Oryzias latipes: one gene and its partner. The protein of the gene in region 1 purifies or fractionates together with the protein of each later gene. This does not show direct contact. Links are inferred from orthologs where the notes say so. Each region holds a gene or a part of one and is shown in the gene's direction. Other genes may lie near its edges.

Region 1 (17,119 bases):
CTGATATAACTCCAGCAAGTCTGCCCTATTGAAGCAAGAAGTACACATGATATAGTGAGCACTTAACTTATACAAGTCCTAGAAAGGTACTTTGTAGTTTTTCATTAACAAAACATTTTATTTATAATTTAACTGCCCATTTATATGAGTCACTTTTATAATTTATATGCAGTTGGGACAAAGAGAACATGTTTATTGACTATTGTCACGGCACTACCCATTTTATTGTCATGTTTTAACAAAAAGCAGAACAGCCCAAAGCAAAAGGCCAAGTATCTTATTCCATCTGCAGCTTACATCGCTGTTAAGTTGTGGCCGAGCACTTAAAGCAGCTTGTGTTTGTAAAGCGTATGTGTTGCAGTTACTTGATGGTAAAAATGAGTAATACGAGTACCACTTCTCACTCTGTGGCAGTGTTAATGCATACAGTGCCAAACAGATATTTTTCTTGCACCAATGTGTCTTTGATTTGTCAACACCAAAGAATGAGTGGGGTCTTCACCTGTGCTTTTACAAGTTGGAGGCATCAACAAGTGGTGGGAACCACAGGGAATTTCACATCACACAGTCCAGACTAAGGGTGGGAGGCGTAATAAAGAGAGCATTGACATCAGGGCTGTTAGGTCTGGAACAGAGCCTTTTTTTATAGTCACAGTTTTGGCAGGTTGGAAAGCTCATGAGAACTCTGGTATGGACCAGAAAAAGGTACCATCAACCCAATCTGCCTAAAAGCTATTAATTGTCTTCCTTTCCATTAGCTGAGCTATAATAAAGGTAGGAAGAAAATGTAAAATTGGACTCAAGTAAAAACAACATTATTCCAAAACGTTAAAGTCAAAAGAAGTCATTCAAATAATTTCCAAGATCAGCCTTAAAAAAACAAACAAAAAAATCACTATTATTTTAAACTTGAACTTGTTAAAAAAAAAATCACTTACAGCCCTGCTTACAGAGAATTTAAAATGTTTTGTCAGTTCAGCTTCCATGAGGTCACAGCTCAGGTCTTGTCTGTGAAAACGCAGAATAAATGTTCTGATGAGGACATGGGACGGAGAGCTAAATAAGAACAAACACCTTTTTTTCTAAATCAAACCCTTTTGAGATCAGCGTAATGTCATAAAATGCACAAGTCTAAAAATGTTTGCACAAAGTGTTTTTGTATTCAAGCTGAACTATCTACTAACTGAACTGTAACTGGCCTGTCAGAAGAGCCACAATCGACAGTTGTTGCCACTCAGTTCTCAGAGGAACAGAGTTTGACTGTCCCGCACTCTTTTCTTTTTTAAAGAGGATTCATACATGATCAAGAAGCAGGGTTTAAGGGCAGGGATGTCCAGATCCCTGCCACTTGCGGGCAAAGGCAGGGGACATCCTGGACAGGTCGCCAGTCTGTTGCAGTATAGATATTAGCTACCGGTTATCATATTTGATTACTGATTCTATGCTTTTATACAATTATTGTTGTGAAGCCTGATGAGACAACCGCGTTGTGATATTGGGCTATATAAATAAAATTACACTGAATGTGTAAATTGAACATTTACACAAAAATCTGAACTTTCAGCCAAAACATCTCTCTAGACCTGTGGTCTAACTGATGTGAATTTGTTGACTTTTCTTTTCCAGCTATTCTGCTGTAGACTTGTTTGTGTGCATTGGCTCATCATTTACATACACAACAAGCATTTGGTCATCAACTGATTTCTCAAGTCATCAGATTTTTAAGATAGATGTAGAAAGGATGTTCTGCAGTTATCTGATATCGGACTATTACATTTTCGACTTCTCTCCGAAAAGCTGACTCTTCCTGTCCACTTTTATCTGTGCATGTGTGAACTAAAAGCACAGATGGAAGCAACATGTAACCACAGAGTAGTCTTGCATGACCAAGCCAACCGCTGTTACTTCCGCACAAAGTACAAATAGAGAATAGAAGCTAGATATTGTCTCTTTATTTTGCAACTATTTTAGATCCCACATTAGCAAAGCTAGCACTATGTCTATCGGTGCTGCTACATTTATAAAAGACAGACTGGTGGAGTTTTAGAAAGAAAAGTTCAAAAGTTATGTCATTGTGTACGTAAAACAAAGCAGATAATTGACTCCCACGTAGTCTAGGGTTTTATGATGATCATATTTCCATAGTCAATTTGTAAATACAGTGGAGCAAATAGTCTGCAATTCTGCTAGTTGTTCCACTTCAACTGTGAGAAAACAAATGTAAACATTTTTGCTTTTACAAATATTCTGTCCCTTACAGACCTGTCACCTCTTCTTTAAGAAGCTTTTCCATCCTCTGCTTGCTACTTGTATCAATGATACCTGTTTGAACTGGTTATCTGCATAAAAGACATGTCCATACCCTTAAACAGTCAGACTGCAACCTGTGCCCCATGATCCAATCCAAAAAGCTGAACACAGGGAGAAGATTGTACACCTGAACAAGACTTGGATGAACTAATCTACAACAAGCAAGCAGCTTGTTGAGAAGAGATCAACTGTTGGAGCAATTATTAGAAAATGGAAGAAAAACAAGACAATTTCCCTCCACTTGGAGCTCCATGGAAGATTTTATCCGGAGGGATAAAAATGATCTTCAGAACAGTGAGGAAACAATCCAGAACTACACGGGGAAACTGGTCAATGACCTGGAGAGAGCTGGGACCACAGTAACAAAGGTTATCATTAGTAACACACTATGTAATCATGGATTAAAACCCTGCAGAGCTCCAAAGTCCCCCCTGTTTAAGCCAACACATATCCAGGACCATCTAAAGTTCCCAGAATCTGTCCGAATGACCCAGAGGAGAAGTGGGGAAAAGGTCATGTGGTCAGATGCGACCAAAATTGAGCTCTTATTGATGCAAGGTATTGATGCCACTAGGCGTGTTTGGAGGGGGAAAAATGTTGAGTTGCGTCCGAAGAACACCGTTCCCACTGTGAAGCATGGGGGTGGAAACATCATGCTTAGGAGCTGTTTTTCTTCAAAGGGAACAGGACGACTGATTCGAATTAAGGAAAATATGAATGGGACCTTGTATGGTGAAATTTTGACCAAAAATCTCATTCCATTATTGAGAATAAAACATGGCTTCTTCCAGCATGACAATGATCCCAAAAAGTCTGCTCTGGCAACAAATGAGTGGCTACGGTACGTAAAAGCATCTAAAGGTTCTGGCGTGGCCTAGCTAGTCTCCAGAGTTCAATCCAAAAGAGAATATATGGAGGGGAATTGAAGGAGTGTTTTTATTCATTCTGTCTCTCACAGTTGAAGTGCATCTATGATGAACATTACAGATCTCTCATCTTTGTAGGACAACTTTCAGAACATTTTGCCTCACTAGATCTGATAAACTCGTTCATTGTTCAACTGCATGACCAAATCTGAGACAGGCTTTAGTGACCAATCAGCTGGTCCAATATTTTATCCTAAATGAAATGCTTTACATGGGATTCCTATAGGAATAAATGAGAAACCTGATCCAGTAAGGGTACAATAAGCCAAAACTGAAGATGGTTGATAAGTTAATTAGAAAATCATTCAATGCAGAAAGTTGCGGTTAATGCATTGCTTACACACGTGAATTGACTCTAGCAACACATAATGAACTCCTATTCTTGCAGCAACGCCCCCTTTATAGCATCAGTTTTAGCCGATTGTGTGCTACAGAGATGCACCGGATTCCTGCACCACATTTTTATTTCTGGATTTAGCCCCACGCCTTAGGTAAACCCTAAAAAGTTGAGCAAATAAAGCAACAAAGCAAGATAGTTGCTATAAAAAAAACTGAAACAAGCACAATGTGCACAACTCTATCTATGCTCTACTTTCGGTCTGAATGGCAGTCCCTGGCGCACGCCTACACACGCGCACGCGCGGCAACACACTCGCACACAGCAGATCCTCTTCAGAAATGAAGCACACTAAACCGCTAAACAATGTGGTGGCTAGTAGGCAACCTGACGTAGCCTTGTTAGCCTGTGTGTGTTTCAGTCAGTTATCTCATTTTGAATTACAAATGAATCATTCACTCATAATATTATTTTAGGTAATATGGACGGTATACACTCTAAGGTATAGATAGTCTTCCAAACATGTGACACGGCACTCTAATCCGCCAAATAGTGTATGCCGCCTGTGCGTAAGCCAAACGGAATCTAACTATCAGAGCTAGTCTTGCTAAGAGCCGAAAGAGGCTAACTGGCTAGCTTAGCTAGCACCTTAACATTGGCTTCAAAGGCATAGAGATTTATACAAAACAAACGACAGCTACGCCGATTTGGCGCTACAGTAACATTTATGAAGTAAAAACTTACCTTTAGAGTATAGCGATTTGGGGGAATTGAGGTCGATATCCGTGCTAAGGATGGATGTAAAATCAGAGGGCATCGCAGATCTTCATCGAGGGGAGGAGGAGCGGACACTCCACCAGAAACGAAGTCGGCTGTTCTTAGCCAATGAATACTGCGTTTTACAAGAAAAATGCTTTAATATGCATAGTATAACATGAAAATAACCTCCCTGCAACAAAAAGAAACCTATAATTATCAGAAACATAAACCGTTATCTAGCACGTCAACGGGTTGTGTCTTGACTGAGCAGACACGTTCAATGCTGCGATTAGACACACACACATACATACAAACAGACGCGCGAACACACACACACACACACACACACACACACACACACACACACACAGTTTACTGCCGTTCTTCATCTCCGTTTGATTGGTTGAAAGGTGTCTACCGTAAGAATTATTACTGCCATCTGGCGTTTAAACCTGCAAATAACACATCGATAGATGTGAGATCTATCGCAGTAATTTAATCCTAAAGTCAAATCGCGATTCTTTTATTTAGAATTAACACTTCAGTTGGAATCTCATGGAAGCGTATCGCATTAAAGTGATTAATAAACCAATGCACTTTGACTGCCATTGTGGTGTTGTGTGAGTCTTTCACCCACAATTCAAAGTACAATTAAATTCGTAATTTCAATTACATAAACGAGCTGTGTACCATTGTTGAGGTAAACAGAAAACAACAAATTATTATATATTTTCTGTTCAGAATCAGAATCTTTTATTGTCATTATGCAGTGCACACTGAGAATTTTTCCAGCAGCTGTTTTCCAACAATATGGAAAATACTATATGAAAAACAATAATACATAAGACTGTACAGACTGTTCATTAATGCTAATGTGTCAATGTTTAGAGTTTTGAATCAATGGTTCTTAGTTAGTATTCTCTATTTGCAATTTCTAGTGTTTGGAGACAACTTTCAAAATAGTCCAAGCTGGCTGTTGTATAAATATGCACTAAACTACTACTACTACTACTACTACTACTACTACTACTACTACTACTACTACCACCACTACTACTACTACTACTACTATTACTACTACTACTACTACTACTACTACTACTACTACTACTACTACTAATAACTAATAAAATCCTTAATTCACTATTTTTAAATATTTATGTACACTGATAGCCACAAGTATTCACGTATTTAGATTTTTTACATGGATTTTGATTAGACATTCATAATGTGATTTTGATCTCAGTTAAACTTAGACTACATCTTTTTATTTTATTTTATTATCATGATTATTATTATGATTATTATTATTGTGATTATTATTCACCAATTAGGTGAATCAAGTTTTTAAAATGAAGTCAGGAAAATCCGCTTCTATTCCAACTTCTAATCGCTGCCTAATATGATTTCATTAAAAAAAAAACAATTGCTCCAACAGCGTCAGTTTTGTACTCAGTTTCCCATGTGGCAGTTCGGCAGCCGTCACAGTATTGTTGCGGAAGTATCGCGAAACGCTGTTGGGGTCTGCATTCATTTCTGCAACTATTTCTCATCGGTTTATCGTTTTGGTGAAGACCCAGAGTCATGGCTGCTCTAAAGTACGCTGGTATGGACGATACAGACAGCGACGACGAGCTGCCTCCCGGATGGGAAGAGAGATCTACGAAAGACGGATGGGTTTACTATGCAAAGTAAGTCAGACAGACAGCTCAGCTGCGACCAGCGCTTCTCCGCACTAGTCCTCAGTTTTCAATTAAGGAAAAAAGCGCCTCCTTGATGTTGATATTGTTTCGTAAACGCATCCAGCTTCACAGATTAAAAAAAATGTTGATAAAATTTCTTGTCTATTACATTTAGAACTCCTGCTGCTTATTGCTACTACTATGAATGCATTTTAGGACATATCTGTAAATAACAATGTGTTATTTATAGCAGTAACATATAAACGTAATTTCTCTGGACATGTAGACGCTTTAGCCAATATTTTTCTTGTTAAAGTTCAAAAACCTCTGACGACTTCAGATCATGGGCTAGAATGAACTTCACCCCCCTAAACCTTAGTCTGATGATGCGACCCTTTGAAGCAAATCCAGTCCACAAAAGCAAACTGTTTAAATTAAATAACTGTTAGTAATCCGATAATGGTGATGTGATGCATTGATATGCATTTAAAAGATACGATAATTGATAAACCCTGATTTACAGGTTTCGCTTCATTATGGATTTCTTTGAGAGATGTGTGCACATAAAGATTTGGTCAAGTTGAAACAACCATGTCTACAGTGTCAGGGTTGTAGTTCTATGGATCATGCAAAATACAATGCATGTACAGTGGTGGACAAAACTGTTGGTACCCCTCAGTTAAAGAAAGAAAGTCCCCAATGCTCACTGAAATGACTTAAAATGTTAAAAAGTAGCATAAATTAAAATGCATTGAAAATTAAAGAATCATATTCAGCCATTATTTTTGAGTTGTTGATTAACAGAATTATTTCCAAAAACAAACTAATGAAATAGAGCTGGACAAAAATGATGGTACCCATAACTTAATATTTTGTTGCACATCCTTTAGAGGCAATCAGTGCAATTAAACGGTTTCTGTATTTGTCAATGAGCCTTCTGCACCTGTCGACAAGTATTTTGTCCCACTCCTCATGAGCAAACTGCCCCAGTTGTCTCAGGTTTGACGGGTGTCTTCTCCAAATGGATGTTTTAGCTCCTTCCACAGATGTTTAATGGGATTCAGATCTGGGCTCATAGAAGGCCACTTCAGAATAGTCTAATGCTTTTCTCTTAGCCATTCTTGGGTGTTTTTGGCTGTGTGTTTTGGATCGTTGTCCTGTTGGAAGACCCATGACCTGCGACTGAGACCAAGCTTTCTGACACTAGGCAGCACATTTCTACCCAGAATGCCTTGATAATCTTGAGATTTCATTTGACCTTGCACAACTTCAAGACACCCTGTGCCAGATGCAGCAGAGCAGCCCCAAAACAGAACTGATTCTCCTCCATGTTTTACAGCAGGGACAGTGTTCTTTTCATTGTATGCTTCATTTTTGAGTCTACCAACATAGAGCTGATGTGCCTTACCAAAAAGCTCGAGTTTAGTCTCATCTGTCCTAAGGACATTTTCCCAGAAGAAACAACTGTGATGTCAATTAAAGGACATACCTGGGTTCATCATGACCCTCTGGGCAATTAGTTCTCAGCCTTTTATGGAGGTACCATCATTTTTGTCCAGCCCTATTTAATTAATTTGTTTTTTGAAATAATTCTGTTACTCAACAACTCAAAAGTAATGGCTGATTTTGATAATTTAGTTTTCAATTTTTTTAAAAAAATTATTGTTACTTTTGAACGTTTCAAGTCATTTCAGTGTGCATTGTGGACTTTCTTTCTTTAACTGAGGGGTACCAACAATTTTGTCCACCACTGTACATGCATGCAAACAAGCATACAAACACTTTCCATGTGTAAGAGAACAAAATGATTTTTGTTCTTATAAACTGACTCTACAACCCATAGGAGATGATTGAACACATGTGGGTAACAGACACTCCAGAACACCTTTAGTGGTCGTTTGGTTGCATAATACCTGCACAATTTTTCAGGATATATAAGGGCAAACTGCCTAGTTTTATGCAGTTCGTCAACATGTTGTGTTTGAGCAGGTTTTGCGATCACTTTATTGACCTGTAACTCTGTAGGGTTGTTGTAGCTGACTGGAAGTATCCCTGAGGAAGACACCAAGCAGAAGAGAAACCAAGCTCATTAAAAAAACTTTGAATCAAAATTACTGGGTACCTTTTTCCTTTTTATTTAAATCAACAAAAAAATGTTCCCCAAATAAGATCTTACATTTTATGCAGTTTAGGAATGGAGTTGACAAATGCTGCCATCTAATTGGGACGTGATTACAGTTCAAACAGGAAATGTGCTTAATTTGCTGTTTGGAAGAAATTTAACTGAAGACAGATTGTAATTCTGTAGAAAAAGATGACAGCGATTGATTTTAGTTTAGTTTTGTGGTTCAGAACTATAACATATCTCATTCAGAAACTGTTAAAAAAATGCATATCCACTTCATAATAGAGCTTTATTACAATGTATTTGTGCAACAACCCAAAAAATATACTTGTGGGTAGCTCATTTGAAACAGTGAGCAAAGGTGCATTTAGAGAAAATTGAGTACAGAAATTAATGAAAATATTATGATTATCTTTTTTAATTTATAATCCCATTAGGCAACATGGTTATGTCCCTGTTTTCCTTTTACAGTACATGAAGACACTAAGGAGACATTATTTACAGCATAAAGAAAGGATGGATTAATTGACATAAATCACTAAATCTAAAAATAAAAGCTTCATTTTTTTCTGTAAAAATGGCGTAAAGTCCCACTCTGATCATCTTTGATCTATTGAAAAAGCGTTCCCAGTGGTCGTTTTGTTGTGATTATGCAGTTTATAAGCAAAATCAAAATAACCTGTGTTGTTTTCTAGGACATAGTTTCTGCAGAGCGGCAGCAGTTCATTAGGGACTATTGACTCGGAGTAAGCCTTCTCTGACTTAGCTTACAGCCATTTACAACCCCAACATATCATTACCGCTGCAACAAAAACGTTGAGAAATTTTGGAACTATTAAGCCGTACAGTTTTGATCCAGATTCCAGTTCAGACGAGGAAAACAAAGACGTTCATGGATCTATTTCAGGGCTCCAGACTAACTTTTTTCACTAGGAGCACAGTGGCCCCTAACTGAAAATTTTAGGGGCGCAACCAGAAAATTTAGGGGCGCATACCGTAAATCAACATTCTAATCAAATCTACTAATTTCCACTGTATTACTAATAAATACTTTAATAATAGATGCAGAAATTACAATGTGCTGTTTCAAATTCAGTGTCACATTTTATTCTGCACTTTTGAAGATGCAACAAAACAAAACCATCACTGTCATGACAGTACAAATTTGTCTTTGTGACACCAAATAGGTGCAGCCAAGATGCACAATAAGCGTGTTTGAGATCACCCAGGTGAACTCAACGCTGCACAGATCACCTGGTGTGTGACATATATTTTTGTTTTTGCTCCAACATCATGCTGTACACTCTGGCACTGGTACACTAGCCGCAGGTGGGAAGAACGAATCAATAGTTCGCTTGCTCATAGCTCAGACGCACATATCAGGTTTTGATATTTGTCTCAGTTTCCTTCCCACAGATGTTTACGCGCACTCGATTATCTCTAGGCCCCTCCCCCTCCACGCATTTTAGCCACTCACAGTGGCTGTCCCTATTCTTCTCACACGCAGTGGCCGCCTCACAAACAGGCATCACGCGAGAGTGTACGTGCTCGCGTTTCATGAGTATGTGCGCGAGTGTGTGTGTCTGCCTGCGTCCGTGTGCGCTTGCGTCTCATTAATTATTTCATTGATCATTGACGTGCCCCTTCCACGTTTAATGTATAAAAAATACGAAGGGTGGGGGAAGCAAATTTACTGGTCGCGCATGTGCGACTGGATGTAAAATTCAGTCGCACACTCTCAAATTTTGGTCGCAAAATGCGGCCAATTGCTCGCAGTCTGGAGCCCTGTATTTGTCTGCAAGTGGATGCATCAGAATGGAGCAGAGCAGGGAGCTTGCAGCTTACTTTAGTAACTTCTATGTCACACCTACAAGGTTTTTCCTCTTGATTCACAACAATTTGAAAAAAGAAATATTTAGAAGAGCAATCTTAAGGCCTGTACACACCGGGACGAATTTGACACGCGATTTTCGCCGACGTTTAAAGCCTCGTGACTAAACAAAGGGCACCAATGAGAGTGTGCACACCGACGCGAAAAAACGCCACGCGTCAAAGCGTCACTTTTTAAAAAACGCCTCGGGTTGGTTTTTTTGGTTTGACGCGCTGCGTCAAAAACTATACGACCAATGAGAATGGTGCTTTTGCACACGTGTCTGGAGCTTCTCAAGTTACAGTAAAACACAACTTGGGTGCGCTCAAACACAAAACTGTCTTTCTGAGCACTCATACCAGCGAGGAAGATAGACGCCAAGTAGCGTCTACACTGCCGCGAAGAAATAATGACGGACATTCCTAAATATCCCCGAAAACGCTCATGATACATTTTCAGCTCTTGTACCAGTCGATAAAACTCCCCATGTTCTTCTCCTCTCGTAACTATGGGATGTACCCAAAATCTGCGTCTTTTCCGGCGTCTTTCATCATTCAAGAGAACAATAATTTCTTCATCGCTGGAACTGGAGTTGGAGCTACTGTTGCTGGAAATATTCATGTTTTCTTTGTTTGATTCTGACAAGCGCGTAAATACTTGCTCTCTTCTTCTGAGTGAAAAGCGACTTTAAGAAGCGTAAAGTTGCGCAGCGCCACCTTGTGTACAGGGGTATTTCTGATTTACATTAAGCGCCATCTAATGTCAGGGAATGAAATTGCATGTTCACTCGGCTCATCGTCAGCGAAAATTGCCTGGGTGTGAACACAAAAAACGTGTTGAAAGACGCTGGCGAATAACGGTTGGCGAATATTCGTCCCGGTGTGTACGGGCGTTTATGCTTAATTTTCTATATCTAGATCCCCCATCATGAGAAAAATGCCAGAAGAGCATGCTAAAAACAGCAACAATTTTTTTTTATTGGACTGAGTCTTTAAGGAACATTAAATACAGATCTTAAAATATTCCCTTCTCTGCTGCTGTGCTGGTTCCAAGCCCGGTTGGATTGAGAGGGTTGCGTCAGGAAGGTAAAGTTAATGTGTTGTGTTGTGACCCTTCTGGGCCACCGTAGGAAGGGCATCCGGCGTAAAAACATTGCCAAGTTAACCATGCGACTCATCCTCGAGGGAGGGTTGTTGCTGTGGCGACCCCTGATGGGAGAAGCCGTAAGTGAAAGAAGAAATACAGATCTTAAAATAAAAACCACTTTAGTTCAGAAGAAAAAGCAAACTGTAAGTTTTCAGTAAAGATTATTATAAGTACTTGAAATTGGAGACCATGAGTTATAATATAAATTGTTAAATATTAAGGTTGTGTTTAGTTTTATAATAGTAGCAGTAGTAGGTGAGCCTTGATCTCCCCCAAATACAGAAATCAGTTTTGAGCAACAGGGAGGTTAAAATAAGTCATCTTCACATTAACATGAGATGGAATAATTTACATAAATATTCCACAGGAGCAGCACATTACAATACATGGAAAAAGAAACAATGCACATGTTCACATTGTACCACAGAGTAATGAAACAAATGAACAAATTGGTAGACTGTCTATCGTCCTTCATACAAAAAAAAATCCCTAATAAATGGTCTAAAGTGTAGTTTAGAAGTTACACAATAAGTAACAAATGCATCAAAAATGCATTGCTTAGTCTCAAAGACAGAAAAGGTAGTTCAAATTTTCCCCCATCCTTCATATCATTGGCAAGCACAGCCCTGCAATCCACTTGTCTCGGTAATAAAACAGACCTATTATTGAGACTGATAGATATGATAAAACATTTTCAAGTCTCACTCCGATCCGTTTCTACATCCCAAATAAGAGCTTTTCAGATGGCATTTTACGTCTGCCTCTGTTTCTCAAATACCCAGAAATGCAATTTTGAATTCAAGTTTATTTCTTTATGTCCTCCATCATCAGAAAAATGCCAGAAGGACACGTTAGAACACCCAAAACACAATTTTTAACTTTAATAAAGCATTAATTTTAAGATCAGGGAAATAAAGCTTATTCCTGGAAGGTATTTTTTAGGGAATGGATTTGTTAATAGGATATAGGCCTTTTTAAAAATTTATTTTAATTTAGCCACTGTTAAAAATGTTTCTGCAATTTATTTTAATTGTTTTAAGGATTAAGAAACTAACAAAGAAGCTGGCAATGTTATCAACCTTTTCAAAAAAACAAAACATATATTGAATAAATGAATAAAAGGACATGATTGAATTTTTACATTTTGAGTCATCTGTCTCTTTTTTCCCCGTACAGTCACGAGGAGATGAAGACACAGTGGGAACACCCCAAGACGGGAAAGAAAAAGCGCTGTGCTGGAGGTCTGCTTTACAGCAATAGTTGGTCACACTGCAGATGCTTTTATCCAAAGTCTCTTGTCAAGTTCTTCTAAATCAAGTCAGAGATTTATTTTTAGTTTAGGATCTAGAACTTCAGAGATTTCATTTGAATATCAACCTATTTATGTATTTATAACTTTCACTCATTCTAGATGCAAATACGAGGCTTTTATGAATTTCTGCTTTGCAAACACTGAGAGTATTTTTGCACAGATTTACCATACGGGTGGGAACAGGAGACCGATGAAAAGGGACAGACCGTTTACGTTGAGTATGTGGATTCTCTAATGCTTTCTATTTTTTTCCTTCCTAGCATGTAATAACTTAACATATCTGGTGCAATACCAACAGAATTCATGTTTGCTTTTTCTGCTTTTAGTCACATCAACAAAAGGAGGACGTATTTTGACCCGCGCCAGGCCTTCACAGTGGAGGATGTAGTTGTGAAGCCAAAGCGTTATGATGGAAACACTGCGGCTTTAGAGATCCTGCAGGGTCGTGACCTGTCCGACAAGGTTGTTGTGATCACTGGAGGAAACTCCGGAATCGGTGAGTTCACTGTGATCAACGTGTGCTTTTGTAAGGAAGCCACTAGGTGGTGATGTTGCTCCTCGGTGGAGAAGTATCTCACACGTGTATCATTCCCATCATTCCTCCCTCTCCGTTCACTACCAAGCATTCATCAACATTAGCCTCTAAAATGATACACTTAGACTCAACAAATCACTCCTTAATACCCAACATGACTGTATTGAAGTTCATTAGCAGGGCTGAATTGGATGTCATTGTTAACTGTAATGAATGACGACCATTTGTGGCCGGCAAATGCATGGCTCCCCATATAATGGTTCGGAAACAAATGCATTTCCAGTTTAGCTTTAGTTTAATTTAGCAGCGGCGGCGGCCATTTATTAACAGTTGCTGCTTTGTTGGAGATAGATAATGACAGTGTGTGCAAAATCAAATAAACATAAAATCGTTAATTGTTTTTATATTCAAATTCTTTGTCCCGAGGAAAATCACAACAGTGTAAATACTGCGTGTAAAAAGCGACGCTGCACGGCAGAATGAGGATGCAGGGATTTACAGGAGCCTGGGGATTTTTTTCTTTTCATTTTTTCAAACAAAGGTGGTTGCAAACGGCAGAACCAGAGCCACAGATTTGCACCTGTCTTTATCTTTGAATACACCTGGAACATTACTACAATAAAAACATTATTAAAATGTTTTAGTTTTAGATTGAACATGTGAAATTTAGTGTGTTGTTGGGAACAGACTTTTGTCTCATAAAGCACAGCATTCTGGGTAATTTCAGCTACAATCTGATGCTCAGGCGGACTCTGAAGGAAGGAAAAATACCCCATAACATAATTATGTTAGTATGAAGCATGATGTTCACCCAATAGTTTTTTCTTAGTTTCCAGCTTCTCACTGAAAGCACTGAATATGCAGTTCAGGGGAGTTTTGATTGAAGTTCAGGAGCTAAAAGAGAAAAAAAATGAATTTATGTTACATTTTTCTGAATTTAAAGTTCTTGTTTCACATGTGAAAACTTCTGTAATTGTGGTCAAAGTTTAAAGAAAGATTTGTTTGGAAATGTATCCATAGCAGCAGATGTTCAGTTATCCATATGTCTCTGAGTCTCACTGAATGAACTATTTTAAACCAACATACCATGTTAGGACTGACATTCTTTAACAGTCAGACTGAAGTGGATCTTCCATTCTTCTCAGTTGGTAGTTTATGCCGACCAATTATAATTTTTATTCATAATCGGCCTTAGTGAGCTAATTATAGGAAGGGTCAAACAGTTTGTTGAGTCCTTTGTCATGAAAGGAGATTTTGAAGGTTCTAAAAGGCGGGTAGCAAAGACCGGATGAAGAAAAATGTAACTTGTTAATGAAAAAAAGTGTGACGTAAAATGACAAGACAGCTCAGAAAGTTGAAGACACAAAGTAACTAAAGAGCAGCGGTGATGGTGACAAACTAAAAGAAGACGCGCTCATCCTTGTAAAGAAACGGAACAATTTTATTTAATAGAATCTAACCAACTAATCTTAGCAAAAAAAAAAAAGTGAGCAATTTTAAAGGCACAGTTCAAGATCAGGTGCCTCCAAGGTCAGGTGACAGAAATAAATGATAATGATAAAATAATCATTTTTAGTGAAGAATATATAAAATGATTTTCAAAAGGGACTTTTTCATTTTTTCAAAAACATTCGAGTATAAATAACTGGAAAAATTGTAATGTAATCTTATAAATCCAAGTACATTCCTCCAATAATGACAGAAAAAAATGAAGGAGTAGAGCTGCATGAGGCTCTACTTTTAATAAGTATATTTTCTGTAATTGTTTCTAAACTTTCTAAAGAAATGTTAGACCAGATGCTGTCAGAATAACTCAGTGTCACCATGAAGAGGTGATCCATAAGATAAAGACAAACCTTCGTTTCTTCATCACTGGGGACATTTGCAGACGGAATTTGCAGGAATATGAACAAATCCAAAATGAAAATGTAATCAAAGGGAGACTGAAGGGAAAAACAGACATATATAAACATGGGTTTTTAGACATGTAATGTTCAGCTAAAACAGTGATGCTTTTCAAATTAGATGGTCAGGAAACTGACTTGATTTGGCTTTTTTATGGGGTTTTTTCTAAATAGATTTGTTTTGCTCACAAGGTTTTTTTTTAATAACTTCTTTGCGTAAAACTTCTAATTTTGTATTCTTATTTATGTGCAGCTTAAACTTAAAAGAAATTAACTGTCTGACCAAAGAGTTTGCTGATAGAGTAATAGCTTTGCCTTCTGCAAGGACATTTACGAGCTTAGGAAGTGCAATCTATGTTAAAATTACCAACTTTAGAAAAGAAATTTTGTTTCGCAAGAAGATTTTGTCAACGGTTTTAAAAGCGGAAAAACAATTTAATTAAAGGTAAATCATAAATCGTATTAATTTGATTTAATTTTGTGTTTTTGTCCTGATAAAATGTAAATTTTCTCCACAAGAGGGCGCAGTACGTCCATAATTTCTCCTATTCAGATTCTGCTACACACATCTTAACATTCTAAATTTTGCTTTGACTTTGAAGTATAACTAAAAGAAACAAGTTACCTATTTATTGATTTAGTTAGGATATTGACATGTGTTCATCTGAAAAAAATAAACAAAAATAACAAAACTTCCTCAGACAGCTCTAACAGACTTTTTTTTTTTTCACAGTGTGTGAATACTCAATAAACCCATATTAACATAACCTCTTGTTTTACTCTTCCACCTATTAAATATTCAGCAGCCATAATTAACAGTATTTTAATAGTAATTGCTACTTGTCGTCTTCTCCCTTTGACATTTCCAAAGTGAAATGTGGTTATGCCGATTGGGTGGACCCACTTAGCATTTTAATGGCATCAATAGTGTTTTATTCCGAGTGTCGAAGCTATTTTCATTTTCCTCACTGCTTATTTCATTCACGGCAAATGTGACATTTTTATTAGTAATGGTGGGATATTATTTAATTAGAAAATGTGCATTAATGCTCTTTAATTTTGTTCCTAATGCATGCGAACATGAAAAGCACATATAGGGATTTATTTATGCATGAAATATCATGGTCTCTGGTTTGGCGAGCAGCCTTGAAGCTTCATTGCACCGGTGCTGGGAGGCGACAGGGTAATGTGGTTTGTCTCGCCGGCGAGTTCTCTCAGCTCCGTTTGTAGCATTAGTCTTACTCTCTCAGACTTCCTTTGCAAATTAAAGCCCAGTACCAACCTGAGTGGCGATTTTTAATTGTGATAATGGAAATAGATGATGTTCGTTTGTTTTCCCCAAAGCTGTGCTCCTCTCCCACGCTCCCCTTTGGGTTTTCTCACTCTTGTGGACCTGTAGTGGCCCACCTGTGCCTCTGCATTGATTCTTAAGCGGCTGTGACCCAGGCCTGAGCCTCCTATCCATCCACATTACTTGCTTTGGCTCTGGCTTTAATTCCCTTCTAGCAACTAACTCTCAGGTTATTTACTGGCCTGAGAGTCCATGGAGCAGTTATCCCCGAATGGTCTGCGGCCTCTTCCAATTGGAAAGACAAAACACATAGAATAATAATAAAAAATATCTTTTCTAAACTTGGCACTAGCCTGCTCTTGCAATATAACTGTTTCTTATAGCCAAACTGGATTTGTAATGTCATCTCTTAACACGTGCTGTCATATTTGCCCCGTCACAGCTCTGTTGGGAAATGTATGTACGTTTATGAGTTTGGCTACCTGGGGTGAATCATCAGTCTCCCTGGTGCCATGTTGTCAACATAACAAATGTTTGATAGTGGTCAGAAATAGCATATTGACCCCTTGTCTCTGCAGGCATAAGTGACCTCTATTTGCAGATATTTTACTCTCAATTCAGCAGATTTTACACAGAAAAACCAACAATAAAACTGGTCTGTAAATGTGCATTTACTTCTGCTCAGTTTATTGTTCAAATCATTCAGTTTTTAATTGCATAAACTGGTTTTGACAAAAAAAAGGTTATTTTCTCACTTGTTTTGCAGCGCCTGCTCTTTTTATGTGTGTGTAGAAGTAATAAGAGATTTTCTTAGAACTTTTTTTTTTTGGCTCTTCCATGAAGATCTTTTAAGTAGAAACCTGCGCGGGCAAAGCTCTCTTCAGTCTAACGTCAGGCGCAGAAATCCACTCGCCGTCGCCGC
Region 2 (17,008 bases), on another chromosome or scaffold:
TCTGAGAAGCTCTCATTTGCATTCAAAGGGCAGGATTTTTCATATAAAAAACAAATAAAGATTTAAAGCTTTTCTATATATATTTTTTTTCAATTTAACCTTTATTTATCCAGGCAAGACAGATTAAGAACAACATTCTTATTTTCAATTGTGGCCTGGTGAAAGACAAGCCCTTTTGAGAAAGGAAACAAAATAGGGTTACAGGAAACAGATAAGAAACATCAGCAATAAGAGAAGAAAGTCTAAAGTCATCAAAATCACTAAACTGTATTGGAGAAGCATTTATGAACTTGTGGAATGACACTTTAGGTTAAATTACAAAGGAAAAAGAAGAGTTGTGGATAACGATGCAGGACCCAACACGCAGAAAATTGGACTTACTTTAGAACTAAATGTCAATTAAAAGGTAGATATGATGACAGAAGGAAAAACAAAAGTCTGATAACAGATGACCTATACTATAACTGTAAGCCTGTAGCTGCAAATAGACTGAGGACTTACTATTTAATAGAGATACACCAGAAGAGACTGTGACATGGAGGAAAACCTGGAAGCCGGGATGCTTTTCTTCTGACTTTCTGTCTGTGCAAACCTTTATTTTTGAAAGTGTTTATGTAAGTTTTTGAATGCTGTCTGATGGTGCAAACACTTACAGTAAAAGGATGCTACAGCCCATTTACTGGCAGCAGAATGACTTCCTAAAGCACTTTCCTGTACGCAGTAAGCTCCCTAAGGAAATAGGAAGAGGAATAAAAACTTTTTTTAAACTTTTGAAATAAGCCTCTGGCTAAGAGTCTCCAAATCTTGTTTTAGCTTCCAGCAAAATTCCAAGAACTGTGGATGTTTGTTTTGCTTGTAGAACATCCTGGAAACGATGAACGGGACAAACATTAAGGAATCCAGTGAAGTTTGGAGAGGATGAATCCAAGTGAATATTGCTTTCCTGACATGTTTACTCACACAAAGTGTCTCGAGGCATAAAGAATTTGATGAGGCTTCGTTCATCGCTCAGAGAACAGAGCATGGAGCCTGTTGTTTTCACATCTCTGACCAGATTACCTATAAATAGAACATAACGTGCCAAAAATCTCCCATCACCCCCCTCTTGTCCTGTAACTTATTTTCCCGACCCTAATTTAAAGCTACATCCACTCACGTGAAGGGTTTAATCCTTGATGGAGAAATTTTTCTAAGCACAAGACATGCTTTCCTGGATTCTCACTTGACTTCACCTTCACATACAAGGAGAGACCGTCCAATGGATGATGAAGTGTTTTGGTTGGGTCCAAAAACGCGTGTCTGATCGTCACGTACGCATACAAACCTTTGCCCCGCCATTAAATCCTTGATTTTTTTTCCTGAATGTCACAAGGACATTCAATGTCTCAATTCATTAAGCTCCCTTAATGAATTCTTTATCAGTGAAAAGGTTTCCATGTTTTGCAATGCAATGTGCAATGCCATAACTTGCTTATTTTTAGAGGTGGTAAAAGGTTTGGGGGTACTTGCCTGGTTCACATACTTCGACACAGCAAGTTTTCTTGACTCGGTCTTATCCGCTTTGTCTTTAAATATCTTCCTGTGTCTAGTCTCGAAATGCCTCCTGATACTTGATGTGCGGCACACAACATTTCTTTACACATAAAGTACACACAGCACGGTCTTTCAAACAAACGCACAGTGCAAGAAGGAGGACTACCGCAGGTCCTTCCTCCCCACAGCCATCAGACTGTACAACACCGTGTTACAGTGACACACGACGGACCCACGGGTGTTTTTCATTCACTCATTTATTCATATTACTTATTGTTGCAGTTGTTGTTCTCAGTTGGTTTTGCTCCTGAACGGTTGTTTCTTTGGTGTGTATTTTTTTACTTATTTACTTTTGTTTAAATTGAATCTACTTGCCGTAAAAAAAATACTTTGCAGGTTGCAGGTGTTTTCTGTTGTATTTAAGATGTTATTTCTTTAAATACACTGAAGGTCATTTTATCTTCTGGTTCTATCAATGCTTGGCATCCCAGCTTGGAATATTCTGGTGTGGATGTTGTTCACTAACTACAATATCCAAGCTTAAGCAATCAGCCTTCTGTTATTGTCCTCCGCTGTTGAGTTGGGGAGATCCCAGTGATGCTTTTCTGCTTTGGGTTGGCAGTTTCATGTGACTTTGTGGGAAGAATATTGTTTTCTGGGCACAGCTTTCCATGTGTAACTTGTGTTTTTTTTTTTCTACAGACGAAACTGCCTTCTGGCAATAAAATTCAACAAGTTAAACATGTTTGAACCAGTTCCAATTATAAGGATGTGAAGTTGCACTTTTGAAGCCTGAAATATGACTTTTCGAATTTGATTTAATTACCCTTTATTAAAAAAAAAGCTGTAAAAACTTCAAAGACATTGAAATGTTCTCATATTAATGTCTTTACATCTCTTTGAACCAAGAACCTGAGGAAGTCTGTAAACTTGATTCACATTGGCTGTTGTAAACCACCATAATGACACGATACACCAGCAGATGGAGGTGAGTCACCAACAAGAGGGTGGCTGTCATTTTTCTGCCCTCTGTGTCTTGGTTACCTTTACCCTTTCCGGGGGTATAATTACACCTGAGACGATTCATAGGGGGATTCAAGAGGGTGAAGAGGAGAATCAGGTGTGGCGGCAGCGAAGCAGACACTTCAGCAGCAGCCGGAGGACACACCCAATGCCAGATCTGCAGCAACATGAGAAGATAAGTGGGTGAGGGGAGCCACCACGGCTGAACCAGAGTGGGCCCTGATCCAACAGGTGTGCAGAAGGTAAAAAGTACTCCTTATCTGTCTTAACCTGTCAGGTCGGAGCCTCGCCCGCTTGTCAGCATTTACAGTGAACTCGGCTACGGCTCCTCATCCGGGCAGGTTTTTTGCACATCTGTGTGAGGCCTGACTCTGTAAAGAATGGGTTCATTGTAGTTAATCGATGTCTCATACAAAATCTCATTGTAATCTGATTTAAAGTGTAAAATACTGTTGGGCTGTGTGTTTGTATGGACCAATACTTGAGAGACATTGGCTGCTTAGCAACAGTACCCCCATGTGTGTAGTTTGTTTTGTTAGTGTCTCATGTGAAAAAAGGGGGAGAGACACAACAAAAAAAGTCAGTTATTGTTGGTTTGATGCTTTTAATTCACTGCTAAGACGTGCCATTGACTTTTCAAATCTTCTTTAATCTGTGATAAGGAGCCACAAGTTGGTTAATTTTAAATTAATCTATTTTAATTGATTATTACAACCACTGGTAGATAGATGGGTTTGCAGTGGGCCCATGTGAAGCCAGCCTTTCAGATCAGCAAATGGAACTCCATACATCCATTTTCCACTGAATCCCCTTCAAGGTCATAGGGTTGCTGGAGCCTATCCTAACCACTGTTGGGTGGAGGCAAGTGCACCCTGGACAGGTGCATAACCACACACACATTTACACCTAGGGATAACTTAGATACACCAGATAACCTATGAAGCACATAGAAAGGACCAAGTCAGGATTTGAACCTGGGCCTTCTTGCTGTGAGTGCTTACCACTCTTCCACCACCTTCCGCCCAACCCATTTTGTGTAGACAGAAATTGGACAGGACAAAGTAAACATTAAAACTCTGCTGGCACCATCTTTTTACTGCCAAAGCAACAAATGAAGGTGAAGGAAAACCTCACCTCTAAATGTGCGCATTTCAAAATCAAATCAAGAAAAAAACACAAACCTTCAGAGTTCCCATGAAACCAAAGCAATAAACCTTCAAAACTTTCTTGCCACCAAGTATATTGTTTTAGGGGAAATCAATTGGAAATGGTTCCCTTTTGAAGCCAGCCTTCAGTGGTCTTTAGAGAAAGTGCAACAATTGATCCTTCCTGTCCTGCATCAAATGAAAGTATGCAAGGATTGGTCATCAATGATCCCCAGACTTTCTACAAATTGACTGATGGTGAAGAGCAAACACGACTGAAAACTGGATAAAAAACAATGAAGCAGTTCTAAAAGTTAGGATGGAGCTTGTCAATCGAAAGACCCCACCCCATTCTTTTATTACAATGTCAAATGTAAAATACAAAACTTTGGTTTGTCAACGTTCACTCCTTGCATCATGAATGCTAAATCTATGCAAAAAGATGGCAAAACGTTTCAGAACCAAACCTAAAATCTGCTTATTTCTGATTTGGTCTTTTTTACGTTAATTGGAGTGAATATATATGGATCTGAAATGTCTTTAGTAAATGAGCTTCAAACAGGAAGTTACAGACTGTCCATTCATTACAACTAATGAGCTTAAGTACAATAACAGCCTATTGTGTTTTTTTAGAAATATTTAAGAAAGGCTTTCTTAAAGATTAATTTAATTAAACAAGAACTAGCTAAAAACCAAGCTAACATTGAGCAGCAACTGAAAAATATGTAAAATGCAAAAAGTGAAGAAAAAAAAACTACAATAGAACCAATAACAGACAATCTAGGATATAAATAGAAAAAAACAGAAGAATATACTTTATTATTATTCAGGGTGGCTGGATGGCTCAGTTGGTGACGCACATGTACACGGGAAGTCAGGGTTTGATTCCCAGGGATGCAATGAGCTTCATCTAGTGTGGGACATTGGGCAAGACCCTTCACCCTACTGGCTGACTATGTAGCCACAAGGGGCCCCCAGTCTGGGTCCCCCTGTACCGGTCCTCATATAATGGGTGGTGTCAGGAAGGGCATCCAATGTCAAAATCTCTGCCCTACTAAATGTGCAAATCAGTGAAAGCCAATTCTCTTTGGCGACCCCTGAAGGGATGTACCAAAAGGTGAGCAACATATTTTATTATTATTGAACCAATTGATAATACGAAGCCCAGACACACACAAAAAAACACAAACGTCAAAAAACCATCAGTTCTTGGACGTTGTGTCTGTAAGGTGTGTAGTGTCCCAAAACACAAATTCGTAGTATAACCTTTCAAACTCTGAGCCATCCATTTGGTAAAACAAACATTTTCTTACAAGCAAAGCCTGTTGACTCTCTGACGTAATCATTTTTTGCAAACTCAATGAGTCACTGAACGTGCTCTTGCACGCACACGCGTGTAAATGGAGAGGAGCTCCAGTGACTTATGACTTCCTTTGTATGGCTCTTCTGTTTTTTTTTTGGTTTTTTTGTTTCCTGTCCGTCTCCTTTGTTTTGCCTTTCCTCACGTTTTGCATGCAATCCGGCACACTGCATGGTCCTGTGATGATGAGGCAATGGCTGGATAATTTCAAAGATGAAGAATGTTACGAAACATTTTTAGAGGAAATCTGATAGGGTTAGACCTCTGTAATCCCTAATTCCAGTCTTGAGCTTATCTTCAATCTTCTGTCTCTTTCCAAGTCTTCCAGGTTCTGCTTAAGACTTGCCTACATAGGTGCAGTTGAGCCCCAGGGCCCTTACATCATGACGGGGGAGGCTGTCCCAGCACCCCAGCAGGGGAACTTGGAGGAACCTGTGGATGTGGAATGCCCCATCTGCTACCAGGAATACAACCAATACAACAAATGTCCTCAGATGCTGGAGTGCCTCCATGTTTTTTGTGCAGAGTGCCTCCAACTGATCCAAATCAGACCGAGCAATCCCTCCGACGCCAACAGCCCGAAATCGATTGCCTGCCCCCTGTGTCGTCATTTGACCTTGCTGGACACTGGAGGCGCCCTCTCTTTGCCCTGCAACTCTCGCATCCTCTCCCGGCTGCCCCCAGCTGCCCCTCACATGTCTGAAAGAAAGACCAACCGTCTGTCCAGTGTCCCCCAGGGAGTGGTGTTCTCCCTGGAGGGCGACAGCAGGGACCCTGGTTTTATCATAGTACCCACCGTCAGCCTGCGAGTGCAGCAGATGCATCCGGAAAGGCCCTGCGGGGCAGCGCCGGGTCTGGTGGGTGAGGAAGGGGTCATCCAGCAGAGCAAGAGAACGCTGGGTTGTGTGCAGGTCCTGGCGGTCGTCTTCTGGGTGCTGTTTGTGATCACCTGCGTGTTTGGCGTCGTGCAGAGGAGATTTTAAAAGAAAAAAGGAATCGTTATCTCTTTATTTTGTCTCACTTCATGAATGTTTCTTTTCATCAATTGCAGATCATGAGCTCCCTCTAGTGGCCAATGAAGAAATGCACAAATGCCACACACTCAATTGACACAAACACATTCAACACCTATTTGCCCCAGTCTCAACAACATGGGCTGTTAATACACAAAACCCTTGTAACTAGAGAGATTTACCAGCAAATCACACCCACATGTTCTGGTCTTGTCCAGCTCTACACTCTTTCTGGAAGGACATTTTTAGATTATTATCCCAGATCATGAATTATAAAAATTATAGAACCCAGTCCTTTGACAGTTATCTTTGGTGCACCTCCGCCATCTGTACCGTCTTCCTCCTCAAGGTCCTCTCCTATTTCTTTTGCCTAATTTTGCTTAGATGGGAGTTTTCAAGTCCTCCATACTTACACTAAAAGATTCACTTGAAGAATTCCACAAAGCCTGTCACAGAGTAATTTATCTGTGTGAAGGGGAGGAGGGCGGGGCGGTCAGTCATGGTCTCCGTTTTTGCAAAAAATATCTATTTTTATTCTATTAATTGGTTGTTTTGTTTTGTTGGTTCATGTTGTATTGTGCATTTTTATATAGACTTGTGCTGTTTTTGTTGTAGCCTTTAATCTTTTTGTCTAAGATTTGTCTCATATAGTGGTTTATTGTCACCATAAAAACTGTTTTTTTCTTCCAGATTTTGTACCTGTTTGCAAATACAAAAAACAAATTGCAAAAAAAGCAACATATCTATATGATATATGTATTATATATATTTTAAAATCTTGGTGTTTTTTTGTGGCAACGACATTTATCCTGAAGTAATTATGCTGTATTTGGTGCTTGTGCCACAATATGCACCATTTTTTTTAAAGTCCAGTTCCACATGATCAATTACAGCCAAAATAACAAATTCTTTTACTGTTTTCAGACTGAATTTTCATGCATCACTACTATTTCTGTGCGTGTTTAGAAATTTCACAACCCAATCTTAAAGTCTTTCAGTTTCTGCCCAAAGGTCTCACTTAAAACCATAACATTGGCACAGATATCAGCATATTATGATTTTATGACCATTTTAATCCCCCCCACCCCCCGTACAATGAGGTTTGAGTATTTTGAGTTTATTATTGTTTGCACTGATGTAATGATGTTTGTTGTGTGTTTAGTTCTTTTTTTTGTGTTGATCTAATCTGTTCTTGACTCCTTTACAAAAAACTTTGTGATCTTTTTTGAGAAATATGTTATAACAGGAGAACCCAAATAAATGCCATTTAAAAAATGAATAATGGAACATGACAAAACACTGTTTGTGTAAGTTCACTGTATATTTGTGATATCAATGTTTATTTCAGTAAATTTCTCAATTATAGTGTATTTTTAGGACTCTTTTTTTATGAAACCTTCTTTAAATCACATTGTGTGTGAATGGATTTGCCTTTTTGCTTTTTATGCTGTTTATCTGCTTCATTTAGCATTCTCACTTCCTAATCCCATCAGTCCCAAAACATCTCAGCAAAACAACTCATCAGTAGAAACCTTTTATCACAACTCAGATGACCACAATGTTTATTTTGATATTTTTAGTACATTTTATGATGGACTCGAAGTCCAAATGTCAGCACTGAAAAATAGAGGAAAAAATACGGTTGGACTGTGATGTAGTGGGTAGCACTCATGCCTTGCAGTGAAAAGGTCTTGGTTCAAATCTCAGCTGGGACTTTTCTGTTTACATGTTCTCCCCAGTTCATAAACATGCTTCATAGGATAATTGGAGTCTCTAAATTGTCTCTTGGTACAGTCCTGCCGTCTTATCACTCAATGCAAAAACATACTAGAGATCACAACGTTAATTAAAAAGCAAAATACGGATATATAAAAATCGATATTACATTTTTGGAAAACAAAATGGAATGTTAAAAAACGAAACACGATGAGAAATTGAAAAAGGTGACTGGATGATAATATCCAGTATCGCTTCATGTCAAATAACTTTCAGCTGAAATGATGGACAAACGTCATCGTCCATCAGCGATGTCCCAAAACCTTTTCCAGTGTCTCATCATCGTTTCTTTTTACTAACATTTCATTTTGATTTCTGGAAATTACTTTTGCATTCAAAAATGTGTTTTTCTTTTTTGTTTTTCATGGAAACCCCCAACCTATGGTGCTCGGCATTTTTGTTACACGGTAATGTTAGGTTGAGGGTGTGAGGGGCTGGAAGCTAGTGGGTTTTCAGATTTTGTGTGAAAACTGCCTCAATTAAAAGACACTCGGAACGCTTTAAGATAGATACAAACTTTAATTTAGTATTGGAAAGTTAATCAAATCAATTTTAAAAAATTCAACAAAAATTGGGGACATCTTTGGATTTGTGTATATAAAATTTAGTAGAAAAAAATAATAATTTAACAATATTTTCCTTTTTTTACCATCAAAACTAAAACAGATAATTACATGTGTGTAAGGTTTATGACGCTATTAATTTTTAATATAATTTTTAATCAATGTTCGGTTTTAGTTGCAATGGGTTTATGATTTTTTTTTATTTAAATGTCTTTAATTAAAGTAATGGGCAATGGACTTAGTAGAGGGGCCTCCCGTACGTAAAGCAGAAAGGGGGGTGCGTCCTTACGTCACACGCAACAAGTGGTAAAAAGTTGTTGGACCCCCCGCCCCCTCCCACCCCTCCTCCTCCCCTGTATGTTTTTGTTGAGGGAAAAGTTGTTGGGAGTTTTGCTCGTGTGAATGCAGCGCCTCCGCCGCTTTTCGGCCCTCGGTACTAGCAGAGGGGAATGCCCGCCGTTTCGTTCCTTCAAGTCGGAGAAAGAGCCGAGGAGCAGAACCTTCCAGATCTTTATGTGAAAACGTAACCTTTTCGGGCTCCAACGTCTCGTTAGCTTCCTTGCTAGCTCCCAAAGTTGACGCTACCTCGCCTCACACTCACCGCTGTGTGTCCCGTCGGAAGTTAGCGGGTTTGTGGGGAAGGAAAAAAAATTAACAAAAACCCGCAGAGATGGCGGAAACCAAGATAATTTATCACATCGACGAGGAGGAGACGCCGTACTTGGTGAAGATACCGATAGCTGCCGAAAACATCACTTTGTTGGATTTTAAACAAGTGTTGAACAAGCCAAACTACAAGTTCTTCTTCAAGTCTATGGACCAAGACTTTGGGTGAGCTGCTGAGATTTCTTCTTCCTGCGCTGAACATGAAAGGATTGATTACGCTAAAAGTAAAGGAACTAAAATTTAAGCGACCAAACGTTCATTCAGAGGCTCATATAATTCAAATTGTGTGGCAAAAATAATATACACATTTATTTTTTCCTACTAGTTTTCAGTGCGTCAGTAGCTGAAAAAAACGCTCCAAAATAGCAGGAAAAACCGTTTTAAATGACATTAAATGTGTATTTTTTTGTCTATTTAGTTTGTTCCTTACAAAACTGTTGGAATAAACGACTCACTGAGTTGTTTTTTCTCCTCTAACGAGAAACCACGCAGTGATGAAGATCATAGCGGTTCTTTAAATACTTTGGATTCTGTGGAATATTTTCAGAATAAAAGACTCCCATTACAATGAGAGGCATTCCTCGGCCCTGCAGCTTTTCTTAGCCCTAATAATCCTCCTCCTCTTCCTCTCCCCCCTCTCCTTCAAGTGAACTCCTCTTTTCTTTCTTGCGGGACTGCAGCCAGAGTTTTGTCCTTTCTCCTTCACACTTCAGCCCGCTTTCCATCCTTTCAATCCCCAACTCCTATTCTATGTAGCTTCTCCTTCAGGTAGAAGACAGGAAAACTGTCTTTCCTCTTCCATGTCATGGTCTGTAGTAGAGGAATGGACGATGGTTAGTTTAAGTCGGTTTCTATTATTATTATGTGTGTACTTGTCTTTTGGTTGGACCATCAGGATATTTATTCTCTCAACCAGAACCTTGATTTAAAAAAATATATAATTTGTTTTATATTGTATTGTGCCTTATAAACTCTAATTAAGATATTTTGAATTGAAATCAACATGGATTTATCACAGGTTAGGCAGTTCTTATTAAAGATGTTTCTGTAGTAGAGAAGTATGCATTCCTCTATAGCTTCTAGTAGCCAATTTCACTCCTGGGTTTTAGTCACAAGGACCTTTTGTTTTTTTTGGGACCATAAGACGCTCCTAAAATCAACAGTGCATTGTATGTATGAATTCTGGTTGTGTTAATTGATGTGGAACCGATTTTCTTTGGTAAATGGCGCTCAAAAATCTGTCCAAATACTTCAGAGAGACTTTGGTAAACTACAAAGCTGCACCTGGAGCATTAAAGCCTTGTTTCCACTCAGCGATCCGGTCCGGTTTAGAAAGCGATTCAGGTGAGCGTTTCCACTCAAAGTTGGACCGGCGCATGTGGGACGTTTGAGAGAAGATTGTGGTCGGCAGAGCAGAACACAGCCGCTTTCTTTTGTTGTAACGACCTTTAGCCAATCGACAGGTTTCAACAGTAGCTCCGCCCAAACCGATCTGTTCCATTTTTCTATGGACCTACAACCAACAGGGGCCCAAAAATGGTACGGTTAATGGGTCCATTTTACCTAGTGAAGTGATACGTATTGTGTTTCAACATAATGGATTGAAAAAGTGTTCTGTATTTTGTGTTACAACTGAACAACGTTGAGAGTTACTGTCAATAAAGTTTGACTTATCTGCAGAGTCTGATTATTGCAGGTAGGAGAGAAGAACTCAGTTCACTAGAAAAAGGTTCCATCAACCCCCTCTTGACCAATTCTATGCATTAGGCCAACTTTGTGCATTCTGGCTATTGTAGTTATATCACATGAAATGACTGTTGTATTGCTCAATCTGCCTTATGGTCCAACAAATCTTTTTGGTTTTAGACCCTCCAGAAAATAACCCATCATGGAGAGGGGCTCTTGATTCCACCTTCTAAAATCAGACAAACATATTGAATATCCTTTTTGGTTTAACACGTTATTTTTGATCCAAGTGGCTCGTTTATATATGCTCACTTTTCAGTAGAATTATTGTTTCCAAATTCTCATAAATGATGCTGCACTTGTTGTAGCTCTCATTTTTTATTGGCTCAGAATTGGGGCTGAACGATATGAAGAAAACTTGCGATATGCGATATGAGTGATCAATATTGCGATAACGATATCATTTGCGGTAAATAAACAAATAGCAAAACAACCAAAAGCATCATTCCCATTTCACTGCAACAGTTTAAAATGTATAGTCCAAATGAACCTCGGCGAGGTAGGATGCAAACATCTAACATAAAAGGGTCCATCCGATTGGTCAAATGCATAAAGGGATTTATTTGATTCATTAAATGCTTCAAGCTGCCATAAGATTGTTTTAGCATATTTAAGGTAACCATTTATTGCGATTTGTGATGACTTTTGCGATATGCATATTGCACAGCTTGATATCGCGATAACGATAAATTTGCGGTATATTGTGTGCAGGCCTACTCAGAATGCAGTGTGACGTTGTTCAAATTAAACCTTTATTAAACCAGAATGGTCAAGTATTGACAAACGTAGGTTAAAGAATAAAGAATCAATCAAACCCAGAGCTAAAGTTTTTTTAACCCTTTTATCTTGGATGTTGGCAATGACACGTTTGTGCAAACACTCTTTACACTGAAAAATGTCAACGCTTTCTAAAAGATGAGACGCTACAGACAATACAATGTTGTAATGGGCAAAAAACTCAGAAGTTCACAAATAGCCCCTATGTTTCCAAGGAAGACAGTTATTCCTGGTTAATTTTATTCTTTTTCTGACCAAAACTGTTACAGTCAATGTTACAATAAACAAACTGAGGCTGTCTACATGCCTGCAAATGCAGAATAACTGAATTAGCAGATATATACAAATTAATCCATGGAAATATGGTCATTTGTAGATCCTCATCTACATGGTTATCTTGGAAGAAGCTTTCAAAGTTTCGGTGACTCAAGGCCCATTATTGACCCTTGTGCTACCCTAGGCACTTTAACATTGGGAGTTGGGTCATCTAGACCCACTAGACAGTGCCCTGAACCTTTTTTCTTCAATGATTTGTGATCTTCACTGGTGTCCATGGATTACATGAAATCTTTCCACCTGTATCCACCTTTGTCATGGCAGGGAGAACACGTCAATGTAAGGTGGGGTCATCTAAGATAGATCAAGAGTTACGCAGAAACCCAACTTCAGCTTCATCCCATGCAACTAACCTGACATATGACGCAGGTGTAGGATTTTCCTTAAAAAACAGGTTCCTTGAGAGTTTTTGGCACTAATCCAACAAGCTGGAGTTACAACGCTGACTTGTTTTGTGGATAAACAATGCAAGAACGGCAGATTTTATTGATCATTTTGGCCCAACAAGACCATGAACCGTTTTTTCTACCATGATTTGTGATCTTCACTGGTGTCCATGGATTACATGAAATCCTCTCCACCTTTATCCACCTTTGTCATGGTAGGGAGAACACGTCAATGTAAGGGTGGGGTCATTTTGACCCCAGAAGATAGCACAAGGGATAAATAAACAAAACAATGTCCATCTGTTCTCGTAAACGTTGGGAGCTAATTGAACAAAAATAAAATTTAGATATAAATTGCATTTTTGTTTGTTCTATGCAACTGTCTTTTTTTTAAACAACATTGTTATATTGGATGCCTTAGTTTAGCGCACTAAAAAAAACTGCATCTGAATATTTTCACTATAGACTAATACATTTTAATTTCAATCTTGTTGTTTGTGGTGGGTTCTGCAGAACCGTGTTCTCCTGCTTAAGGCATGCAAACCTTTGCAGGCATGCAGAACACAGGCATAAAAACACCTCACTGGGTTCTAGATGACTTCTGCTAGATTACCCGATGTGCTGCATTGGTAGAATAAACAAAATTTTTTTAAATTCTTTTTTTTTAGTATATGTGGTCCTGATCCCTTAGAAGCTGCTTCTGGGTCACGTTTGATCTGTAGGCCACTATTTATAAAGCCCTGCTTTAAGTACAGCTGATAAATGAGTGTGCTAAAGAGAAGTAAATTAGAAAGCAAGCATGCAAATTACCGTATGTTTATTATCACTAGAGTGAAAGTGATAAGTATTTATCTTAATTAGAAATCATTTTGACTCAATTTGTGATTATCTAAATGTATACAGTCAATAATGATTTGAATTAAAATGAGAGATTTTGATTTGCGTTCATCTTAAGCGCGAAGATCTTTAATTTTTTTATTACATTAGCTGTGATGCTGTCTTAACAAACAGGAAAACACGAAGATCAGACTTCTTAAAACGACCAAATTCTTTCCAAACCAACAGAGTTTAATGAAGAGAGTGATTATTAATGAATTTAGAACAATTGACAATAAAAAGGGGTTTATCTAACGGTTTAGGTTTTTTTTTTGTGGATTGACTTTATAAACATAAAAGTTTATTAAAATTTCCACAGGTATTATTAATATTAATGAACCACAAAAAGTCAGATATCTTCTCCCAGACCAAACCGGTCGGTTTACTAGGATTAGCATCAGATGCTAATGGAGAGTTTAGCTAAACCTGCTCAACAGGCTTCAGTGTCACAACAAACACAAAAGGCTTTAATGCGAGAAGCTTGGGAGTTTTACCATAACAAAAGAATAACTATTTATTGTTTATTGTAAATAGGCAACAACTCCACAAACATCTGTGTTTTCAGATGTCAAAGTCCCACTCCAATCATCATCATTTTGATGGACTTTTAATTATGATGATACTGTTTTTAGCCAAAATAAAAAAAATCTTGTGGTGTGTTCTAGGACATAGTTTGTCTTCAGAGCGGGGAGCTCATGACCCGCCCAGCTTATTTTTTACAGAACTGCATTTTTGTCATCTGCTCTTGATGCACAACGATTTGAATAAAGAAATACTCAGAAATGCCACAAGAACGCATTAAAAACACCAAAAATCCATCAGAGTGGGTCATCAATTGATGTCTACTCTTATTTCTAGGACTGTGAATGCCCAAGATAAACAAAAACAGCAACATTTTCTTAGAATATGTGGTAGCATCCCCCTCTTTGAATGTCTAAATCATTTCACCAAATTTCAAAGGGTCAGCTGTCCAGTCATAGCCGGTACCCCCCCCCCCCCCCCCACTCCAGCCCTAAAAAGGGAGTCCTCTAACGTTGTGTGTTTTCCTTTGCCATGGTCGAGGCCAGCTGTTGACTGACGCTGCATGTGTGGCGGAGCCGGGGTTTGTGTGGGGAACCTGGGGCTGGACGGAGGCCATTTGGTGGGGGTCTCGTTGTGTCCGCAGAGAGCAGAAAGACGGGGACCGAACAGGGCGGTGTTGGGTTGGAGCTACTGGATATTCCTCTATGTGAATGTGCTTTCAGAGGCTTGGGGCCTGTTTCAGCGAGATTAATTATTGGGAAGCTAATGCCGTGTTGAATGCTGGGCATTTAGTGGTAACAGGGGAATAGAAGAATGGAGGAGGGTTGGGAGGAGCTTAAGGTTTTACTGACTGCAAACTGGGCTCAGCATATTTTCAGGCTTGTTTGTGCATTTTTGCTGGCATTTTGGAGCGTGTGTGAGCTGACTGCCCCGGAGTTTGTTTAGAGCAGTGCTTCTCAATTATTTTTTGCCAGGCCCCCCCTAGGAAAAGAAAATGTTTCGCGCCCCCCCTGACCCCCCCCCCCCCATAACCCCCCCCCCCCCACACACACACACACACAGACACACTCGCGCGGTGACAATACATCAGGTCAGTATCTATAAAATTTGTATACCTAAAATTGTATCTTTTAACACTAACAAAAGAAAAAAGCAAAATAAATCCACTTTCAACAAATATTAACTTTATTTAGCCACAGAAACCCTGTTCTAGTCTAAAACAGAAAAGAAGCTGAAAGTACCTGAAATAAAAAAAAATCTGTCATTCCTTATTTAAACTAGAAACATTTTGACCAACTGAACCATTTGATGCTGAAAAAAATAATTCAATCAATAAATAATATTAAATCTAAATTGATCTGAAACATTAACACAGCAGCACCAATATATTTAACGTTTTTAGTCTGAAGAAATAGGTAAAAACGTGCTGATTTTTTTTTTTCTAAATGACGGATTGTTTATTTCTGATCTCATAAAAGTGCAGCTGTTTTCCTGCATTACCTGCTGTCTTTCTGTCTGTCTGAAACCAACTAAACCACAGGCAGACAAAGAAAACATGGATGGAAAATAAAGACACGTCATCAAAATGTCTACAATAGTTCATAAAGAATGACATTGTTAGCATGAGCTTAGGAATCTAAGGGCAGCGGTGATCTTGGGCAACAGGCAGCGGTAGCAGTGGTCCGCGTGCCCCGATTCCCCTGGCAGACAGGGCCCACACCACCCCTCCCCTTTCGTTCTCACTCGCGCAGCCGCGGACAGACAGAACAGACAATAGGAACCGAATAGTGGACCAGATTATTTTCCAAGCACTGAGCCGCTGTCACCGCTGCCCCCACGTTAAATTTGCGCACCGGACAAACCTGTGCCTAAAACCGCCACCACCGCGCGCCCCCCCTGGCATCGCTTCGTGCCCCCCCCTGGGGGCGCGCCCCACTATTTGAGAAGCACTGGTTTAGAGGGCTGTGGAATGAAGACAACTCTGGTGGTTGTTGATGCATCTGCTCCTCATGCTGTCTAGACGTCGTTTATGCGAGGAGGGAAAACGCTGAATAAATGAAGCGCAACTAGATTATTTGTTTGTTCACCAACAGTCGGCGACCACACAGACGAAAACTCCCAGAAAGCTCAGACATCCTGCTTCAGATCCCCACGAGTGCGCTAAACGATCTGCATGCTAACACTCGCCCACAAACCCAGCGCTCAACAGCTGCTCACAGAAGCCCAGTGGAGCCGGGCCTAATCTCTCACACAAGAAGGACCCAGACAAGCTGACAGGGCTGGAAAACTAACCAGCGTTTGAAAGAAAATCTGTTAACATTCACGTGACGCACCGTCCATAAATGCAACGCAAAGCTGAGGAAAAGCAGGGAACACAAGTTAAGAGGAGAGAAGTAAAAGATTCTGACATTAACTTCCTTTGATTCATATTTTTTTTCTACAAGCAAATGAAATTATAAAACGTCTTGATGAATAACCAGGAACAAAAGCAGTTTATTACATTATGCTGTAAATGATAGTCTCCAATCTTTTTCAGGCTACAGACCGGTTTAATATCAGAGAATATTTTCACAGACCGGCCTGAACAAAGCTAACGGTGGCAACAGTTTTAGAATAAAATTATAATTGTACTTCTTTATTCATTTTTTGCTCATGGTTTCTCTTTAAAGTTAAGGTGCAGCGGATAAACAGCAATGATCTGGGTGAATGCTGAATTCCAATTGGCTGCAGGGTGGTGTCCTTTAAAATGCAAGTAGTTGACACCTAAAAATGAAGCTTCTGTCACATAGCTTGAATGTCCTATATTATTGAGCTGGCCTAAACACCAGTTGGTAACCGGGACAACAGAAACAAAGGTCTCTGTCGCTTAAATGGCTCTATGATGGACATGCTGGTAAATCTATCAAAGGTTATTATCAATGGCAACATTGCAATAAATTTTAAAGAGTGTTTTGTCTGTCTTGCTGCATGATACAGAGTGATGATGTGTTTATAAATAATTTTATTATAAAATGATGAAAGACATTGATTTTTAGTTGATACATATTTCATGATCAGAGTTAGTACTAAATATTTCTTACAATAAAAGCAATTTAGGAAACTGCCTGTGGACTTTGTTGCTTTGAAACAAATGTTTGCTTCATCATCTGAAAAAAAACAAGCGTTAAGAGGACCGCTGTCCCTCTGAAATGCTGCTTTGTATCACTCAATGTGACGTTTAGCCTCCGCTGTGGCAGAGATGGATCGCTACAAGCGCAGTAGCTGTTACCATGGCATCACGCCACAC

Evidence for each region.
Region 2: the proteins of wwox (region 1) and dvl2 purify together in Homo sapiens (affinity purification with mass spectrometry; 4 studies listed by BioGRID and IntAct, counting the BioPlex papers as one, with this or other methods). This does not show direct contact. The link is inferred for Oryzias latipes from reciprocal best matches to the Homo sapiens genes WWOX and DVL2.

What each region holds. Positions count from the first base shown.
Region 1 is NC_019864.2:20,914,108-20,931,226, reverse strand, and holds the start of wwox (WW domain-containing oxidoreductase), read left to right. Parts: upstream 1-5,818; 5' UTR 5,819-5,916; coding exon 5,917-6,023; intron 6,024-12,331; coding exon 12,332-12,396; intron 12,397-12,627; coding exon 12,628-12,685; intron 12,686-12,793; coding exon 12,794-12,963; intron 12,964-17,119. Other genes in the region: nuclear factor of activated T-cells 5, read right to left, coding at 4,318-4,390. UniProt on the Homo sapiens protein: Putative oxidoreductase. Acts as a tumor suppressor and plays a role in apoptosis. Required for normal bone development. May function synergistically with p53/TP53 to control genotoxic stress-induced cell death.
Region 2 is NC_019876.2:14,914,147-14,931,154, forward strand, and holds the start of dvl2 (segment polarity protein dishevelled homolog DVL-2), read left to right. Parts: upstream 1-8,751; 5' UTR 8,752-9,083; coding exon 9,084-9,244; intron 9,245-17,008. Other genes in the region: RING finger protein 223-like, read left to right, coding at 5,445-6,044.